Linked DNA regions of Arabidopsis thaliana. The protein of the gene in region 1 interacts with the protein of each later gene in a pairwise test. Each region holds a gene or a part of one and is shown in the gene's direction. Other genes may lie near its edges. The genes, in order: AT1G72210, RCAR1, ERF8 and CPUORF7.

What was found.
Region 2: the proteins of AT1G72210 (region 1) and RCAR1 interact in binary tests that used the Arabidopsis thaliana proteins (3 or more experiments, as listed by UniProt).
Region 3: the proteins of AT1G72210 (region 1) and ERF8 interact in binary tests that used the Arabidopsis thaliana proteins (3 or more experiments, as listed by UniProt).
Region 4: the proteins of AT1G72210 (region 1) and CPUORF7 interact in binary tests that used the Arabidopsis thaliana proteins (3 or more experiments, as listed by UniProt).

The regions. Positions count from the first base shown.
Region 1 is NC_003070.9:27,177,474-27,182,957, forward strand, and holds AT1G72210 (basic helix-loop-helix (bHLH) DNA-binding superfamily protein), read left to right. Parts: upstream 1-1,984; 5' UTR 1,985-2,592; coding exon 2,593-3,060; intron 3,061-3,595; coding exon 3,596-3,994; coding exon of another isoform or gene 3,995-4,057; exon of another isoform or gene 4,058-4,699; coding exon 4,700-4,795; 3' UTR 4,796-4,983; downstream 4,984-5,484.
Region 2 is NC_003070.9:140,276-143,807, forward strand, and holds RCAR1 (regulatory component of ABA receptor 1), read left to right. Parts: upstream 1-1,594; 5' UTR 1,595-1,862; coding exon 1,863-2,006; intron 2,007-2,148; coding exon 2,149-2,364; intron 2,365-2,435; coding exon 2,436-2,639; 3' UTR 2,640-2,986; downstream 2,987-3,532. Other genes in the region: HTR12 (Histone superfamily protein), read left to right, coding at 3,498-3,532. UniProt on the Arabidopsis thaliana protein: Receptor for abscisic acid (ABA) required for ABA-mediated responses such as stomatal closure and germination inhibition.
Region 3 is NC_003070.9:19,820,814-19,824,099, reverse strand, and holds ERF8 (ethylene response factor 8), read left to right. Parts: upstream 1-1,847; 5' UTR 1,848-2,003; coding exon 2,004-2,561; 3' UTR 2,562-2,763; downstream 2,764-3,286.
Region 4 is NC_003071.7:13,337,319-13,344,201, forward strand, and holds CPUORF7 (transcription factor bHLH155-like protein), read left to right. Parts: upstream 1-1,768; 5' UTR 1,769-2,111; coding exon of another isoform or gene 2,112-2,208; 5' UTR 2,209-2,359; coding exon 2,360-2,457; intron 2,458-2,754; coding exon 2,755-2,874; intron 2,875-3,066; coding exon 3,067-3,148; intron 3,149-3,222; coding exon 3,223-3,264; intron 3,265-3,387; coding exon 3,388-3,447; intron 3,448-3,577; coding exon 3,578-3,697; intron 3,698-3,857; coding exon 3,858-5,063; intron 5,064-5,169; coding exon 5,170-5,271; intron 5,272-5,526; coding exon 5,527-5,646; intron 5,647-5,685; coding exon of another isoform or gene 5,686-5,757; coding exon 5,758-5,934; coding exon of another isoform or gene 5,935-5,991; intron 5,992-6,019; coding exon 6,020-6,106; 3' UTR 6,107-6,344; downstream 6,345-6,883. Other genes in the region: AT2G31290 (Ubiquitin carboxyl-terminal hydrolase family protein), read left to right, coding at 6,833-6,883. UniProt on the Arabidopsis thaliana protein: Transcription factor that may regulate root development.

The DNA.
Region 1 (5,484 bases):
TGACATTCTTTTTGTTTTCAAACTAACTTTGCACTAATTCTTGTAACAATCTCTATGTTTGATCAATTATAACTTCGGCGATCCTTGAAAAAAATATCTAAATTATTTAGCTAGGAGCCTAGGACTATATATTATTTTTGCCTACTATAGTACTACTTGGATGGTTTTGAAATTATGGTATCTTTTTATGTCGCAAATAAAAACTAGAGGTACACGGACTTAAAGGAGACAAGAGTATCATAGCCTTAGATTTATTTTCCACCGTGTTTCTAAATAGTGGGATTCTTTCGAGTTTCGATCAAATGATTTTTCGCTTAGATTTCGTTTTGCATCACATATTTAAGTTGTTGCTTCCCTCTATTGGTTAAAGCGACCAAACAACTTTGTTACACAGCAACCCTAAGTCGTGTCATAGCCATCTAATTCTCACATCTTCTATACCGCATAAAAGTTCGATAATTATTAATTAGACTAATGGAAAGATGCCACCTAGTTAATATACAAATTAAGTTGGGATATCGTCTCTTATTCTTACATATGTCAACATCAAGAATACTTTGTTTTAAGCATGACATGATTACATTAATAAAGCATTACCCCACACGCCGAAATGTTATTCTTATTTTTATCCGTGAATTTTTTCTATGATCAAATTTGTCCGTCTAAGTGGATTGAATGCAAATGTGAGTGTTTAATTCCCATCATCAGTTGGAAGATCAGGGATTCTTTTTGTACAAGATTGGAAGATCAGGTTTTTGAGTTGAATATGGTTTGATCATCATCATTTTACGAACATTCGAAACTTGCATAGTCGAGTAATTTTTATCTCTCAATTTCTGTTTCTTAATCAATATCCACGTAAGTTTTTTTTTTTTTTTTTTTTAAACAGTTGTTTTTAAGTATCAAAGACATGGGAACCAGACAGTTGAAAATATATTTTTAAGACAAATTTACATATTTTAAATGTCTTCTAATCTTAATATTTTAAATGTTTTCTAATATTATCTTGTTTTAAAAAAAGAACACATATTTTCAAATTATATGATATTGTTGTTACTATTATTTCTTTTTTTACTATAAATTTTGTGACAATATATATATATATATATATATATATTAACCATTTTTCGGCGGTATAAAATAGTTTACCACCGAGTAATTGCATTCAATCGCACGACCAACAAGTTATAGTATTATTCACTTTGCCCCAAACTAAAAGTTTATTTTAGAAAATTCATTAACAGTAAATTTCATTTCCTTCAAAATACATTTTTGTTCTGTTTTTATTTATTTATTTAATATATTAACATTTATCATGTATGATGATTGATGAAGATGATTTTCTCAACATTTCTCTCCTTTTTTTTTTGTCTCTCAACATTTCTCTCCTATATAAAATTTAAACTATTGAACGAATGTTACTGCTACGAAATTATAATATTTACTCTAAGTTGTCATCAGGATTCTATTACTTTAAAAGCCAAAATTTACTAATCAAAAACTAGTTGATAGATTGTAAAATTAATTAAGCACATTTATTGATTTAAAATTTATTTTTTACTCTACAAATCGTGATTTCCAAGAGTTGTATCTATATAAAGGCAATATGCTTTCGGACCCATGCATGGTCTTGATGTTTTTTTACGGTTATTCCATTACGGGTAGGGTTATGTGATAAACGATATGATTTCATATAAAAAGAATAAATCAGCGGTCATTGTCTCCGCATGGTTCGGGGAAAAAATACTCGTATAAATAAGCCTTTAGATTTCGAATTTATAAAGCTTTGACGTCGGCTGATACATAGAAACAAAAAAAAACTTTGATGTCAAGCTCTCTTTCCTCTTCCTGTCCATCAATACGCGTTACACACGCACAATAGAAGCAAATTATTGTTTGAATACCTAAAAGAGGATAGACGACATAATTATCACCGCAAACACTCTAAATTTTGGGATATAGCTTTCATTAGATTACATTTTGACTCACATGGTATACGGCAAAAAAATATTAAATTCATGGCAACGTATAAAGTTGATATTTCAACATGTTATAATTTCTCTCTCTTCGAACATGAGTGTAACAAGACGAACCCCAAAGCCTGCAAAAACACACAGAATCTTTTCTTTGGTTTTGTGGACCGGTCTACAATCTCACGTGCAAAACCAAACATACACGATCTCTCTCTCTCTATATCTCTACTTTTTCTGAACTCAGTTGGTTTCGATTTTCTTCGGACCTTCTATTGTTAAATCAGCTTTATAACCTCACAAGCTTCTCCTCTATTCCATAGATCAAACCACAACTTTGTTTGACCTTTTTTTGAGTACTTCTCTTGTCTTTTCTTCTTCAAGTTTACTTAGTTCTTTGAGAACAAATTTCTGTTGATTTTTTTTCTTTCTTGTAGAGGGATAATTACAAGTTTAATTTCCCTAGAGTGTCTTTACCTTTTGCCTTGTCTCCCTCTCGAGACAAAAAGAGAAAGAGAAACACTTTCTGTCCTCTTTTTTTTTCCTCTCTTTTTCTCTCTCGCTGGAAACCTTTTCATATTCAAGTGTAATTTTAATATTTCAAGCAATTTTCTAGCTAATTATGGCCTTGGAGGCTGTAGTTTACCCGCAAGATCCGTTCTCCTACATCTCTTGCAAAGATTTTCCGTTTTACGACTTATACTTTCAAGAAGAAGAAGATCAAGATCCACAAGATACTAAGAACAACATTAAGCTAGGGCAAGGACAAGGACATGGTTTTGCGAGTAATAATTACAACGGTAGAACCGGAGATTATAGTGATGATTATAATTACAACGAAGAGGATCTCCAATGGCCACGAGACCTTCCTTATGGATCTGCCGTCGACACCGAGAGCCAGCCTCCACCGTCGGATGTGGCGGCGGGAGGAGGGAGGAGGAAAAGGAGGAGGACGAGGAGTAGCAAGAACAAAGAAGAGATCGAGAACCAGAGGATGACTCACATCGCCGTTGAAAGAAATCGCCGGAAACAGATGAACGAGTACCTCGCCGTTCTCCGGTCTCTCATGCCACCTTATTATGCTCAAAGGGTTAGTCTCTACATACAACAGTTATATGTATATGTGAGTGTGAGCGCGTGAAATATTCAGTCCTTTAGCTGTATTTCTTGACGTGTCAAAAAAAAAAAAAAAAAGCAAAGCCTATGTTCTAGGCTTTCAGCTAATTAGGACATGCATAGGCTATACATAGATATGTCATATGCATGTATGTTTATATGTTTTGAAATATAAATTTGAGAATGATGATAGATGAATGAAAGCCGTTATATATATTGACAAAAAATAAAAACTAAACGAAAGTCGTTATTTCTTTTTTTCATAATTTTATTAGATCATGTAGTCTCTAAATGAAAATTTTGTTAGTGGAATTGTGGGAGCATAAATAAAGTCTTGAACATCATTGCACCCAAAAAGGACTATACATATTATAGATTTATAATGAGATGGTGACATAATATATTTTTTAAAAAATTAAGGTACGAAATATAGACATGTTTGATTGTTTTTGCAAAACCTTTTGCAATTTCTATGTGCTAGACTAACATAAGGTTGGTGGTGGTTAAAGGGAGATCAAGCATCGATAGTAGGCGGAGCCATTAACTACTTAAAGGAGCTTGAGCATCATTTACAATCAATGGAACCTCCGGTTAAGACCGCCACAGAAGACACCGGAGCCGGCCACGACCAGACCAAAACAACCTCGGCTAGTTCGTCGGGACCATTCTCGGATTTCTTTGCATTTCCTCAGTACTCGAACCGGCCTACCTCTGCGGCGGCGGCTGAGGGGATGGCGGAGATAGAGGTAACGATGGTAGAGAGCCATGCGAGTCTGAAAATACTTGCGAAAAAGAGACCGAGACAGCTTCTTAAACTGGTCTCATCGATACAGAGCCTAAGGCTCACTCTTCTCCATCTAAACGTCACAACTCGAGACGACTCCGTCCTCTATTCCATCAGCGTCAAGGTACATTTTTTTCTCTCTTTTTCACCATTTTTTGTTTTTTTTTTCCTAACCAGATTAGAGTGATCATGTTATATAATACCGTTGTTTAGGGTTAGTGGGTTGAATTTGCAAATTCAAATTAAATTGGTATCTAATAATTAATGGGTGACTAATCATTACTCCCATTGTTGGTTTTGGTTCAATGATTATTCATTGATTGTTTTTCCAATCACAAATGTTTTGTGCATTTAATGTGTCTCTTATTAGTACATGTTGTGAATTATTTGTCTGGGCCAAAAAAGGTTTTCCAAGAACAAAAATAAAAATCGTTCCTTTTTTCTCGTTCTTTTTTACTTGGTTAGGGCTGGCCTCAATTATTGGGGGGTCAAAATCATCATTTCTTATTTATTAAAAAAGACAAAATTTTGAGTACTATCATAATATTGATTCTTGTAAGAATCAGGGACCAAAAAGATGACATATGCCTACACATGTGTGAATGTGTGTATATATATATGTGTACTGGGCATGTTTGGTGGTCACAACACTGTGGATGCACTGTGCACGGCAGAACGAAATGACGCCACTTGTTTCAGGACACATTCATAAGCTTCTTCCTCGAAATATAAACATTTTCTTTAATCATCTTTTTACCTTTTCAATGACTATATATCAATCTTTTTCATGTAACTTAAAAGAAAATATTAAAATAATGGGTTTATTCAGGTTGAAGAAGGGAGCCAATTGAATACAGTAGAAGATATTGCAGCAGCTGTGAATCAAATCCTAAGGAGGATCGAAGAAGAGTCATCCTTTAGCTAGTATTGTTGAATTTTAGTTATGGCACATTTAGAGGAGCTCTAATTTTTCATGTGTGATCTTTTGCTCTCTCTTTTTCATATATTAAATAATATAAATTTCCTTTTTCTTTTTGTTAACGTTAATTCTAATGCATTATATATTGGAGTTTTTGTGTGATTGACCTTTTAGACCTGATCACAAAAGAGGAACTAGCTTTTAAGAGCTCTATACGAGAATAGTAATTATAAGCTTGAGCAATTGAATTTTCCCACACATAAAAAAAAGGCTTGAACAATTTGACTGGTTATGAGATAGCTGAAAAAAATTCAACCACACTTATATAAATATACCGGTATGAGTCATGTGAAGGCGTCCCTAAAAGACTCGGTATATCGTGAATAACCGGCTTTGCACGGTTCGTTTAAGAAGGAATTAGTTAGAATAGTATATTTTGTGAAGTAATGTCTAAATATGCGCTAATTAAGAAAAAAGTTTGATGAGACTCTCATGGTCTGAATCAGATGTTTTGAACACCCATGACATCTAAGACACCCGCAAAGGGCCACATATACGATCGTAAATAATAATCTAGTCTGGGGTCGGAGAACACTTAAGTTCTAATCGGAGAGACTTTTCAGACTCAATCCACCACTAGTTTTTGGGTAAGCAAACATAGTTTAAAACTATATTTGCACATTCGCAAAAGGGAG
Region 2 (3,532 bases), about 27 Mb from region 1:
CTTTCACTTCCGTCTGTTTTTTTTGTGGTATTGGTTAATTCGAAAAGATTCGGAACCTATTGGCCGGCAAAAAAGTTATCCAAATGAACAAAAAGAAGAATTACACGTGTCAAGTTCACGAGAAACGACATAATACGTGAACATGAAAATGACAGACAATAAACCAATGAAAATATGACACGTATATTGGTTTCCTATTATTTAACCGTATTTAGCTCATTGTCGCTGTCACTAAAAAGGCTCCTTGTTTTTATCTTGAAGCAGTTAATAATTTACGCCAAAGTCGTCTTTTGCGTTTAAGTTCGCATGCCTAGCTAGTGCCAAAGGTGATCCTATCCGATAAGCTTTGTTTTGGGTAAATTTTTATCTGATAAGGTTACTGTAATTATCGTCAATTACCGCTCTTTTAAGTACTATATTATCACTTAACATTTTTTAAAAAATATGATTGCAGAAAATGTTATATATAAACTAAATCCCTATTTTATCATAACGTCAATTTCAGACAATTAATGAGATATGTAAGCATAAACCATATTCATATTGAACAAGAAAACCTCCGGTTACAATTATATGTGTTGTTTAAAATGGTTACAAAATCGGAAGATTGTTCGTTATGAAAACCTTAAACCATAATTAATACATATGTTAGAAGATAATTAGATAAGTAATCATTTAACTAGATTTATCTAAAAAGTGATTATGTTGTTTTTGTTTGAGAAAACCAAGTAAAGGTGAGTCTTTTCTCCTTTGGGAAAAACAAAAGTAGAATTCAAAAAAGAAAGAAATAGAATTCACTAATTATATAGTAATCCATTAATATTACTGGTTAGAAAGCGTAATTAGCGGCGGTGGTTATCAAAAGTGACTTCCACCATATGTTTCGAAAGCTTGAGTTTCACGAAGAAGATGGAGGAGGGGCAACTTTAGACTAGTGGAGATGAATCGAATGATGATTTATTGTAGATTCTTTGTGGTATCTCATCTTTCCTTCGTATGAGGTGTGATTCACAACAAATACAATTTAACAAAAACTAGTTTGTCTACATTCGGTATGATATAATTAAGGACTTTGTCTCAAACAGATTAAAGTTCTTGTTTCATGATTTTAGATTGTGGATGCCTTGTACCAATCTTCTTGTAGAAATGCCTTCTCCTCCTAGAAGAGAAATTACACCTTACGTGTCGTACATGACTACATGGAACAGTCACTTTGCAGATAGGATATGGTGTTAGACATTTAGCTTGATACAATTAATTAATGTTTAACAACAAGGTTTAAAGGCAACGAGAGCTATATCTAATAAGATGTGGTCTAAGACATATGAGACCTGATACATGGAGAATCACTCATTTATAAATTTCTGGTATATTAACGACATTTTGTGTCTAAAAAATTAGCTATTATAATGAATATGGTCTAAAATTGAATTTAAATTAACAAAACTATCTATAAAGTTTGAAACGATCTTACCTAATCAAAACAAATAATTATCTAAGCAATCTGTTTTGTTTTGTTCGGATTATATAGGTCCCCAAAACGTCATACAATAAAACTTGCTTAAATATTTTGTTTTTTTGTTACATTAAAAAATTAGTATCTTGTTGTGTTTTTGTTTGGTTTGAAAAGCTGAAAATGTGTGAAGGAGAAGAAGGAAGCTATAAAAAAGAGTTTAGGTACAAAAGTAAAAAGTTATTATGTCGGTGGGTTCATTAAAAGAAACCAAAAAACATAAACAAGTAATTTTGTTTTGGCATAACGAAGCATCTTCTTCTTCTTCCTTGTATTTATTATCCATTTCCAGAGATTCTCCCTTGTGAGATAACAACGAAGAACGAAAGAGAGAGAGAGAGAGAGAGATATGATGGACGGCGTTGAAGGCGGCACGGCGATGTACGGTGGTCTCGAGACGGTGCAATACGTACGGACGCATCATCAACATCTGTGCAGAGAAAACCAGTGTACCTCTGCTCTTGTCAAACACATCAAAGCTCCTCTTCATCTCGTAAGCTTCTCCAATCTACCACTAATTTCACCCTTTTCGTACCATTTTCTCCATGATCCGTCAATTTTGATCCCAACCATCGATTTAGGGTTTTTTCCCCCAAATCTCTGTTTAACGATTGATTATAATTGATTTTTTTTAGGTTTGGTCACTTGTACGGAGATTTGATCAGCCGCAGAAATACAAACCGTTTGTGAGCAGATGTACAGTAATCGGTGATCCTGAAATCGGCAGTCTTAGAGAAGTCAATGTTAAATCTGGTCTTCCTGCAACAACATCTACTGAGAGATTAGAACTTCTTGATGATGAAGAACACATCCTCGGTATCAAAATCATCGGTGGTGATCACAGACTTAAGGTACAGCGAGAGAAATCAAATCTCATTGATGTTTGTTTATATGCAGATTCTCATTGATTGTTTGTTTGCAGAATTACTCGTCGATTTTGACGGTTCATCCGGAGATAATCGAGGGAAGAGCAGGAACGATGGTGATTGAATCGTTTGTAGTTGATGTTCCTCAAGGTAACACAAAGGATGAGACTTGCTACTTTGTTGAAGCACTTATCAGATGTAATCTCAAGTCACTAGCAGATGTTTCTGAAAGATTGGCTTCTCAGGACATTACTCAGTGAACTACATAATCAATGAACAAGGGCATTGAAGTGAAGTATCAATTCCAGTTTGTGATATAATCAATATTCTTCAGGATTTTTTTGGTTTGGCCTAGATATATATATAGATATCTATCCTCGGTAATGACCAGTCTAAAAAGATGTACATATTGTCCCAATGGTGAAGTTTTGATGTAAGATATCTCCTGGTGGTTTGTTATTTGTAGATATTTTTGTAAACAATGTAAATGTGAATGGTTTATGATGTATAATATATAGTTCACAAAAGATGTTTCTGTAGACTTCAGATTCCACTTCTCTATTGAACAGAACCTATGATTGGATGCTGAGAACTTGTAAAGAATCTGAGGCAGAAAGTTGAAAAACTGTGTCAATTTCATTAACTTGAAAAGATGAGCATAAATTGGGAGAGAGAGAGAGAGACAAAGATTTTGAATTGAGGTTTAACGGTAAAACACACAAAACCTATTCCCCTCTGTTTCCAATTTTCATCTAAACAAACAGGTACATATTTGAATGTAATATTGTATACAGACCAGGGGTAAAACAGGAACTAAAGAAGGCTAACAATCGAGTCGAACCCTCTATGTGAAGCCACAGGTTTAGTGCAAATTGTAATAAGTTGTTCAGAGAGACTCTTGACTGAAACAAATTGTGAAGCAGATTCGATTTTAAAATCAAAATTTGAGTGTCGAGCGGGAAAGTAAAAGTTCCGCTCCAATCTTCTAATCTTTTCGTATCTAGCGGGAAATTTCTCAGCAGGTGACTTTCATAATCGCAGTTTTCGTCGATTCTCTTTTCCGATTTTACGATTCCTCTCTCTCTCTCATGGTGCGATTTCTCCAGCAGTAAAAATCAATGGCGAGAACCAAGCATCGCGTTACCAGGTCACA
Region 3 (3,286 bases), 7.4 Mb from region 1:
TTACAATTTAAGTTTGAATTTGGCAAAAAAAAGTTTTTGTTGTGCGTTTATTTGACTAGATTATATTATACTTTACTCTAACTACAATCATATATATACATTGGTAACACGATAGACAACATATATAAAAGTCTTTTAAACTATAAAAGCCAACATATATATTCCATAGTATTCTTTAAAACAAAAACAAATATGCATGTAAATAATAGATTTGTCTTTTTATTGTTGTCACTGTAGCGACATTTTTTTCCGTCACTGTAACAACGTATATTTTCTCCACAGAACTAACAAATTCGAATCTATTTGTTTGATGGTGTTCATTTTTAATCCAATGTACATATGCAAGTAGTAGATATCTCTTTCTTTTTTGTATATACACGATATATAAAATAGTTCACTAAGTTATAAATCTAAAAATTTATTTTGATAATATTTTGTTTACCAAATAAATACACAAATAGTATATATGCGTTGTTCGTCATGATATCGTCATATATAAAATCCACTACAATATAAAATTTTGGTCATTTTGTTTGATAATATTTATTTTTCACCAGATATAAGCATGTAAATAATAGATTTTTTTTTTCTTGTCGGCTCGTTAACGACATTTATAACGGAATAACGGTATACTAAAGTACAAATTTTTATTCTATTCCCTTTATACCAAATAAGCTTTCATGGTAACATCCGCTAAATTATATATTGTCATCATGGTAACATCCGCTAAATTACAAATTTCAAATAATTTTTACTTTTACCAAACAGAAAAGTAAGAAATATTTTTTTGTCGACACTTTAACGATATATATATGTAACGGTATATAATTTACAAATTCAGAAATTTTGTTCGCTATATATTTTCTTACAAATTTTTTTTTTTTTGTTTATGTGTTAACAACATATATAACTACAAATTCGATAATTTTGTTTGAATATTTTTTCTACTAGATACACACACAATAGTTTATATTATATATATATATATATAAATCTTGACCTAACTAAAACATATAGTTTAAAAGGGTGTTATTAGTTCTTAATTAATTAAAAAAAATTCAAGAATCTGATAAAATCATAGATTGTAAAGAAATGAAAGTTTCTAAACTATTATTATAGAGTTTTCTATAATCTTGTTGATTAGTTTTTCACAATTTCTAAATTTTCTCAAACAATCTTTCTTTTTTAATGATACTTTTCGTAACTTTATTTTGGAAAAAGTGTAGAAAATCATAAACCAATAACACAATAATTTAATTCATTGACAATTATAGATTCTTTTGTTTTAGCTAAATAATATAAAATTTATAATAATTTTATAAAAGTATAAATCCAATAACTATAGATTTATCAAGATTTTAAATTATTTTTTACAAATCTTAATATTTTAAATTTTTTTAATTGAATAACAATAGATTCTTTATAATATTTTAAGTTACTAAAACTTTAATTAAATCACAAACTAATAACACTCTTTAATAGTGTATACTAGTATTATTGTTATGTCATTATATAGATTTAAATCCGCATATTACATTGCTTTAATAAGAAAAATTACTTAAAATTGCAAAGTGGCGATATAACATGTTTTATAGATTTAGTACAAATATGTTCCTAGTTTAAATAGGGATAAATGCAGCAAAAACCAAATTATATTATATTCTTAATAGGCAGTAACTTAATTTATAAGATTGTGATTTGTGCAGTCTTTGTTACAAAGGTGAAAAAGGGTAATAAATAAGATTCTTTTGGAGAAAGAGAAGTGAACACGTGGCAAAACATAAGTGGATATAATAACAAAAACCAGTTTTTATATGAAATAAGAGAAGCATGAGAGAGAGATAATTAAACCATCTCTCAAAATGGCTTTGACTGTTCACAAGAAAGCTCCCCAAAAGGAGCGTTGCTTTACTCTCCTATAAAAAGAAGCTCTTCTACTTCTTCTCGTTACCACAAAACTCTTTCACCGATCTTCTCGTTCCATTCTTCTTCCTAATTACACCATGCCCAACATCACCATGGGTTTGAAACCCGACCCGGTTGCTCCAACGAACCCGACTCATCATGAGAGTAATGCTGCCAAAGAGATTCGTTACAGAGGCGTTAGGAAACGTCCATGGGGAAGATACGCCGCTGAGATCCGAGATCCGGTTAAGAAAACTCGAGTCTGGCTCGGTACGTTCGACACCGCTCAGCAGGCGGCGCGTGCTTACGACGCAGCCGCGCGTGACTTTCGTGGTGTTAAGGCTAAGACCAATTTCGGTGTTATCGTTGGTAGTAGTCCTACTCAGAGTAGCACCGTCGTCGACTCTCCCACGGCGGCACGGTTTATAACACCTCCGCACCTCGAGCTCAGCTTAGGCGGCGGCGGCGCGTGTCGTCGTAAGATCCCGCTTGTGCATCCGGTTTACTACTATAACATGGCGACGTATCCAAAGATGACGACGTGTGGTGTCCAGAGCGAGTCTGAAACGTCGTCGGTCGTTGATTTCGAAGGTGGAGCTGGGAAGATATCTCCGCCGTTAGATCTGGATCTTAACTTAGCTCCTCCGGCGGAATAGGCCGTGAGTTTTTTTTTTCTTATGTCGTTTCTTTAGACAAAAAAAAATAACGTTTCCTTTTTTTTTCTGCCTAAGAAAAAAATATTATCCGTTTTTTAGAAGAAAGTGTAGAAAAGCTCCAATATAATTTTTAGCTGCCGTGAAAAAAAAGTCGTTATGTATATATTATTATGAAACCCTATTATAAATCGACGTAACATAAGAGGATCTTAAGCTTTTTTTTTTTCTTTAGTATTTGCCAAGGAAATGCATCATCGTAAATTCGTAATTGAAAAGATAAAGTATTATAGAGCTTTTTGGGGCTCGTGTGTAGAAGAAATAGATAAAGAATGGTAATGTTATTATTATAAGACTAAATATAGTGATGAGTATCGTCGTCGTCGGCTTGAAAAGACAATGGTCCAAGTGTCGTGAAGACACGCACCAATCGTGGGAGGACCGGACCCATCTTCTCTGGCTGCGGCGTACGTTAGAAGAATACTTCTTTACGCTTACGTCATTTTCACAGTTTGGACTGCTTTTCTAACTTTTGACTTTTGTGTTTTGCATCAACTCTTTTAACTCCGATGATTTATTAACAGATGGTTAAGAGTCTTGCTTAAGTTGAATAGTATTCGATTTGAAATGGTAAAAATGTTTTAAGGAAGTTGAAGATAAGAAGAGCGGCGGCTTCATAATGAGAGACAAAGGAAGGATGAGATTTGATTTTGATTCTTGTCGCCAAC
Region 4 (6,883 bases), on another chromosome or scaffold:
CACTTGTAGTTTGATTGTTAATTTAAGAGTTTCACATGTAGTATACCATCTTGTATTAATATCGATCTAAACCCGTCAATTCTAGGATTTTTCAGCTTATATTAAAAATTGAATCACATCTAATATGTTATTAACTATTGTAATATATAAGATTATAAATTTTCAATATAATATGTATGAAATTGAATATGAATATTTCAAATTTATGTCCCCTTACTCAGTAGAAAGTTTTCTTAAATCTATTTTTCACCCGTTATAATATTATTTCATGTATTGAACAGTTTATATTTGTTTTTAAAAATTCAAATTATGGCATATGCGAAAAAACTCTAATTATTTTTTTATAATGATGATATTATTTTTCCGTATAAATAGAATCATATAAAGATGAGAAGTGAACTATAATAATTAATAAAAAATTAATATGATAATTTAGATACCAAATATAGTTTGTTGATTTTAATTGGTTACTTTTTTAGAAATTAATAATCTATTTCGTTTTTCTAATTAAATTAAATTAATTAAATTTAGATATCAAATCTTATATGTTGATTTTGATTGGCTATTATTTTTGGAAATTAATATTGTATTTCGTTTTTTAATTAATTTAATTAATTAAATTAGTATTTGACTTTTTAATCCTTAAAGAGATAAATTAATTTACTTTTTAAAATTTTATTTCTAATGGCATACCTATGTAATTACTTACAAAAATTAAGGTTATATTTAAAATGTACTTCCCAAATAATATAGTAGGATTGTCACTACGACTACGAGGGACACTTGCTAAATTTTCGGAATATTTTATCTTATGAATTAGAAGGAAAATTATTATGGAAGTTGTAATAAAACATGTACAACATTTTAAATATCATAGGTTTTTTATTACAAAAGTATTATATTTTAATAGTATATGGGAAAAACAATTGTCTCTTCAAAATTTATTCAAAATAAAAAAAAAATTAAACTATAGACGAATGAGCCTCGAAAACGCAATTCCTCAAACATTTTTTTTTACAATCTTATCCACCAACGTATGAGTCAAATCAAACAAATAGACACCTTAAAGTAAAGTATATACATAGTTCACTAATATTTTTGCTAGACGGTTAACCTCTTTATACATATACGAGATTCGAATTATCTACTCTGTAGATAAAATATATGATACAAACTTATCAAGAAAGACAATTGGGTTCGACTCACAAACTCTTGCCTTTAAGAATCCTACCACTAATTCCGCAGCTCTAGCCTCATCACTCTCTTCTCCCATGGGATATACAATTCATAGTAGACTTCCTACAACTTCGGTAAACGAGCCGAGTATACAATGTTTAGCGCACAATTTCCGCGGGAAATACAAAAAAGATTGTGATGTTAATGTGATGAATTTGTAATTAAACACACGATAAATTAGTGCAATGTGTAAAATATTTTATAAATTTGTGAGTAATGGGTAAAAAAAAAAGTAAAGAAGGAAGCAAAGTTCAGTTGGTGAATCATTTTGCTGGCCATTACTCTATAAGAGAGAGAGATCCTATCTCCATAAAATCCCATACCCTCAAACACACACACACTCACCATCCCACTAACTCGAATAGTTAACATGCGCACACCGATCCTTGGCCTTTCGTTGCTAAAATGAGCATGGTGCGTGATTCACCCGCTTACTTGCTCGATTTCTCCTTCACCCTTTTAAAAAGGAACGTCTTTTAGCTTACCTCTGCCTCCTTTACCCTCTCTCTCTCTCTATCTCTATCTCTGTTCTTTCCTTTTTCCGGCGAATTTCTGGGCTGAGATTGTTAGTGTCTCTGAGTGATGCAGAGATCAACTGTTGTAGTTAATCAATATCTTCTGACATAAGCTAAACTCGATTCTTTCTTACAATCTCTCTGTCTCTCTCTGCTTCCTTTTCTACTGTCTTCTTTCTTCTTCTCTAGCTTTTGAATTTTCAATATTGATTTCTCCCATGGCGAGTAGCAGTTGCAGCAGATCTATCTCTGTTTCAAATTCTGATTCTCTCGGTGTTTTTTGTTTGAGCTAGGGCTAAATTAGTTTCCTTCTTGGGTTTTTATTCGTAATCCGATTCAAAGTTTGTATCTTTGGGAGGGATGGGTAAGAGGCAAATATCACAAGATGAAGTAGGTCCGCCCATAAAACCAAGAGCTGGTTTACGAAGGGAACAAGCTGGAAGAGGTTCTTACAGAGGTAGTTAGTTACTTTGTATCTCATCGAAAACGAATCAAAAGAAGCTTCTTTTTTTTTTTATTAGAGGTTGGGGAGGAGATAGTATAAAACAACTGTTTAGAGTTCTGATTTGTGGTTTTTGAGTCCGGGGTTTTGAGGTTTACCCTTTAGAATGGGTTCTACTTCTCAAGAGATACTGAAGAGCTTTTGCTTTAACACGGACTGGGACTATGCTGTGTTCTGGCAACTTAATCATCGAGGATCTCGAATGTGAGTCATCTAAACAATTCTCTTTACTGTCTTTGCGTGGTGGATCATTATAATTGTCTACGAGTTAGAACTGTGGTAATTGATTTAGGTGTATTGACTTCAACTTGCTAGAGTGGAAATATGGAACCTTATATCGAAATGCAGCAGCTTTAAGTTAACAATTGTAGTTTAAGTGTCTGAAGATTGTTTCTGTACTTTTAAGTTTTGTGTGCAGTTCAGGATTCTATTTCTTTATATGTTTTAGTGTTTTAGTTGACCAGATAGTTTCTCAATTTTTTGAATAATGAACACCTGTAGGGTACTTACCTTGGAGGATGCTTACTATGACCATCATGGGACGAATATGCATGGAGCACATGACCCCCTTGGGTTAGCTGTGGCAAAGATGTCTTATCATGTCTATTCTCTAGGGGAAGGGTAAGAATATATTGCTCTGATTCACTCTTATCATGCCTATAGTTTGATGTGCCCTTTTTCCTTCTTTTTTTATTTGACAGTAGCCACATAATGCAAAGCTTTTGTTGTGTCCTTGAGCTTGATGTTAGCTTTTACAATAGTTAACAATCTTGGGTCTATTGTTGAATTATGTTATCATATCTATATAAACAGGATTGTAGGACAAGTTGCAGTTTCTGGAGAACACCAATGGGTATTTCCCGAAAATTATAACAACTGTAACTCAGCATTTGAGGTTAGGGACTTTCTATCTGAAATTAAATTTGTTTTCTTCGTGTTTTTAAACCAAATGTCTTTTTTTAATTACAGTTTCATAACGTTTGGGAAAGTCAAATTTCTGCTGGAATTAAGGTATTTGGATTTTTCTTTAGTGCTCTTTCTGTCTGCTTTATTATACATACTTGTCAAGAACATCCTCAAAGTTTGCCACTGGAGACTTTCCTTTTTAAAATATCTATTCTTCCTTCTCCGCAGACCATTCTTGTAGTAGCTGTTGGTCCATGTGGAGTTGTTCAGCTAGGCTCTTTGTGTAAAGTAAGTAAGATCTTAAAATTGGATGCGGTGTTCGCAGTTACAAAATAATAGCCAGGAAGAACACCTGCACACTTATAATAGATGGCACATATATACATATCTGGTCTTATTTTGTATTTGTTTGGAGCAGGTTAATGAAGATGTGAATTTTGTGAATCATATCCGACATTTATTTCTGGCACTTAGGGATCCATTGGCAGACCATGCAGCAAATTTAAGGCAATGTAATATGAACAATTCGTTATGTCTGGTAAAGATCTTCTTCATTCAAATATGGATTCATGTTTTTTCTAGATTTCTTGTTATTTGCAAAATGGGGAGAGTAAAGTGCTTAGGGTTCTTCTAACAGTTACTCAAACCTCCACTGACTTCCTGAGTAGACCATGATGTGTTGTATAATTTTGTTGCAGCCAAAAATGCCTTCTGAAGGTTTACATGCTGAGGCTTTCCCTGATTGCTCTGGAGAAGTTGACAAAGCTATGGACGTGGAAGAGTCCAATATTCTAACTCAATACAAAACTAGAAGAAGTGATAGCATGCCTTACAATACTCCTTCGTCATGTCTTGTCATGGAGAAGGCAGCCCAAGTTGTTGGTGGTCGTGAAGTTGTGCAAGGATCTACTTGTGGGAGTTATAGTGGTGTTACGTTTGGCTTTCCAGTTGACTTGGTTGGTGCCAAACATGAGAATCAAGTAGGTACTAATATAATCAGGGATGCACCTCATGTGGGAATGACTAGTGGCTGCAAAGATTCAAGGGATTTAGATCCTAATTTACATCTGTATATGAAGAATCATGTGCTCAATGATACAAGCACATCTGCTTTAGCAATTGAGGCTGAAAGATTGATAACAAGCCAATCATATCCACGCCTGGACTCAACTTTTCAGGCTACCTCGAGAACAGATAAAGAAAGTTCTTACCATAATGAAGTGTTCCAACTATCTGAGAACCAAGGAAATAAATACATAAAAGAGACTGAGCGTATGCTGGGGAGGAACTGCGAGTCTAGTCAATTTGATGCTTTGATCTCATCTGGGTATACTTTTGCTGGCAGCGAGCTACTAGAAGCGTTAGGCTCTGCTTTCAAGCAAACGAACACTGGTCAGGAGGAGCTACTGAAGTCTGAACATGGTTCAACAATGAGACCAACAGACGATATGAGTCATAGCCAGCTCACGTTTGACCCTGGCCCTGAGAATCTTCTAGATGCTGTGGTTGCTAATGTGTGTCAAAGAGATGGTAATGCGAGGGATGATATGATGTCGAGCAGATCGGTACAATCATTGCTTACTAACATGGAACTGGCAGAACCCTCAGGTCAGAAGAAGCATAATATTGTTAACCCAATTAATAGTGCTATGAATCAGCCACCAATGGCAGAGGTGGATACCCAACAAAATTCATCAGATATTTGTGGAGCGTTTTCTTCAATTGGATTCTCATCTACGTACCCCAGCTCCTCTAGTGATCAGTTTCAGACATCCCTGGACATACCCAAGAAGAACAAAAAGAGGGCCAAACCTGGTGAAAGTTCTCGACCTCGCCCAAGAGACAGGCAACTTATTCAAGATCGAATCAAGGAACTTAGAGAACTTGTGCCTAATGGATCTAAGGTGATTTTTCTCTTCCTAGCTACAAGATTACTTGCACCTTCCTTTGTAATGAATTTAACTTATAATATATTTTTGTCATTCACTAATATTTTTGTCACATTTTCAGTGCAGTATCGATTCTTTGCTAGAACGAACGATCAAACACATGCTCTTTTTGCAGAATGTTACTAAGCATGCTGAAAAGCTCAGTAAAAGTGCTAATGAAAAGGTAAAAATGTCAGCTTTCTTGATAACTGATAATCTCTGTTCTATCCTAGAAATTTTTATTCCAGCCTCCATAGTTTGTAAATGAACACATTAAGCAGTTTGTTAGGTTTGATTGATTGATGTAGCAAATAGTGGATCAAATTTCTGAATCCTTGAATGAGAAGATAGGATTATTAGGCACATGGAGATATATAGAAAAACTCAACTGAAAATCAGAAGTAAATATCAAAATTAGCTTATACCTTTGTAATCTCAGATGCAACAAAAGGAAACTGGTATGCAAGGTTCAAGCTGCGCAGTGGAGGTTGGAGGTCATCTTCAAGTAAGCTCGATCATCGTGGAGAATCTGAACAAGCAGGGGATGGTGCTTATCGAGGTATGTAATCTTACATTTTGTCTCTTTTCTTTGGTTTAGTTTAATCTTTGTTTGAACTCGAGTCCCAAGTTCTGCGAGTGTGTATTAAAAGTATTTTTGGGTATTGGACAGATGTTATGTGAAGAATGTGGCCATTTTCTTGAGATAGCAAACGTCATAAGGAGCTTAGACCTCGTCATCCTAAGAGGTTTCACCGAGACTCAGGGCGAGAAAACATGGATATGCTTTGTAACTGAGGTAGGAAGTCGAATTACCCAATTCATGAAAGAGATTCCAAAGCAAATCAAAGTATTTTCCTTGGTTTTGATTGAACTTTGGATTAGTATGATATATATGACTGACTAACATCGAGATACTGATATATGAATGGCAGAGCCAAAACAGCAAAGTAATGCAGAGGATGGACATTTTGTGGTCTCTGGTGCAAATATTTCAACCAAAGGCCAATGAGAAGGGGTAACAGGCGTGGTTGCAGAGTTTGCGTTTACGTAAGATAAAGAATAGGCTTGTGTGGGCTTGTACAGTGTTGTTGTGACACTCACTGCAATACTTTCATTTGTTTGTTTTGATTTTTTGTATAAAAGATAGGACTTCAAAGTTGAGTGTTTAGTGTGTTTATGATTTGCATTTGTTTGCTTTTGAGTTTTTGGACCCTTTGAAGTTTGTATATATACATGACTTGAAACTTTGATTTTCTTCATACGTTTGATTTGCAAGCTGTGGAATTATAAATTAATGGTTAGAAATTTGCAAGCATGCATTGTAATTATCATAATCAAAACTGAGTAAACAACAAACACTAAACCCAAACAAAGAAGTCTTAGAAAGAAGAAAGCTTTCACTTTCACCAGCACTAGTCCCTGTTCTGCCACAGTCTCTTCGCTGCAGAGAGTAAGGGCATAAAATTTGTTCCTTCGAATCTCGGGTTCAGAAGCAAAATCTCTTTTCTACCTCTTGTCGAAACTGTGGCGTTGTTGAGTCTGATGAATCGACTTCAAAGGCTTCTCCTTTCTGCTCCTCGCTTATCTCCTCCGATCATACTTCCTTCGTGGCGGTATTAGGGTTCTGTTTTGCTCCTCTGATACTCTAAAGGTGGAGGCTTTTCTATTTCTTTTTGCTTATAACCAATCGCATTCGTCAATAATTGAAGTTTGAGTTTGATTAGGTTTGGTAGTCAGAGACTGATATGGCTATGACACGAGAGTTATATCGGATTCTGGGTACCAAGTATGCTCCA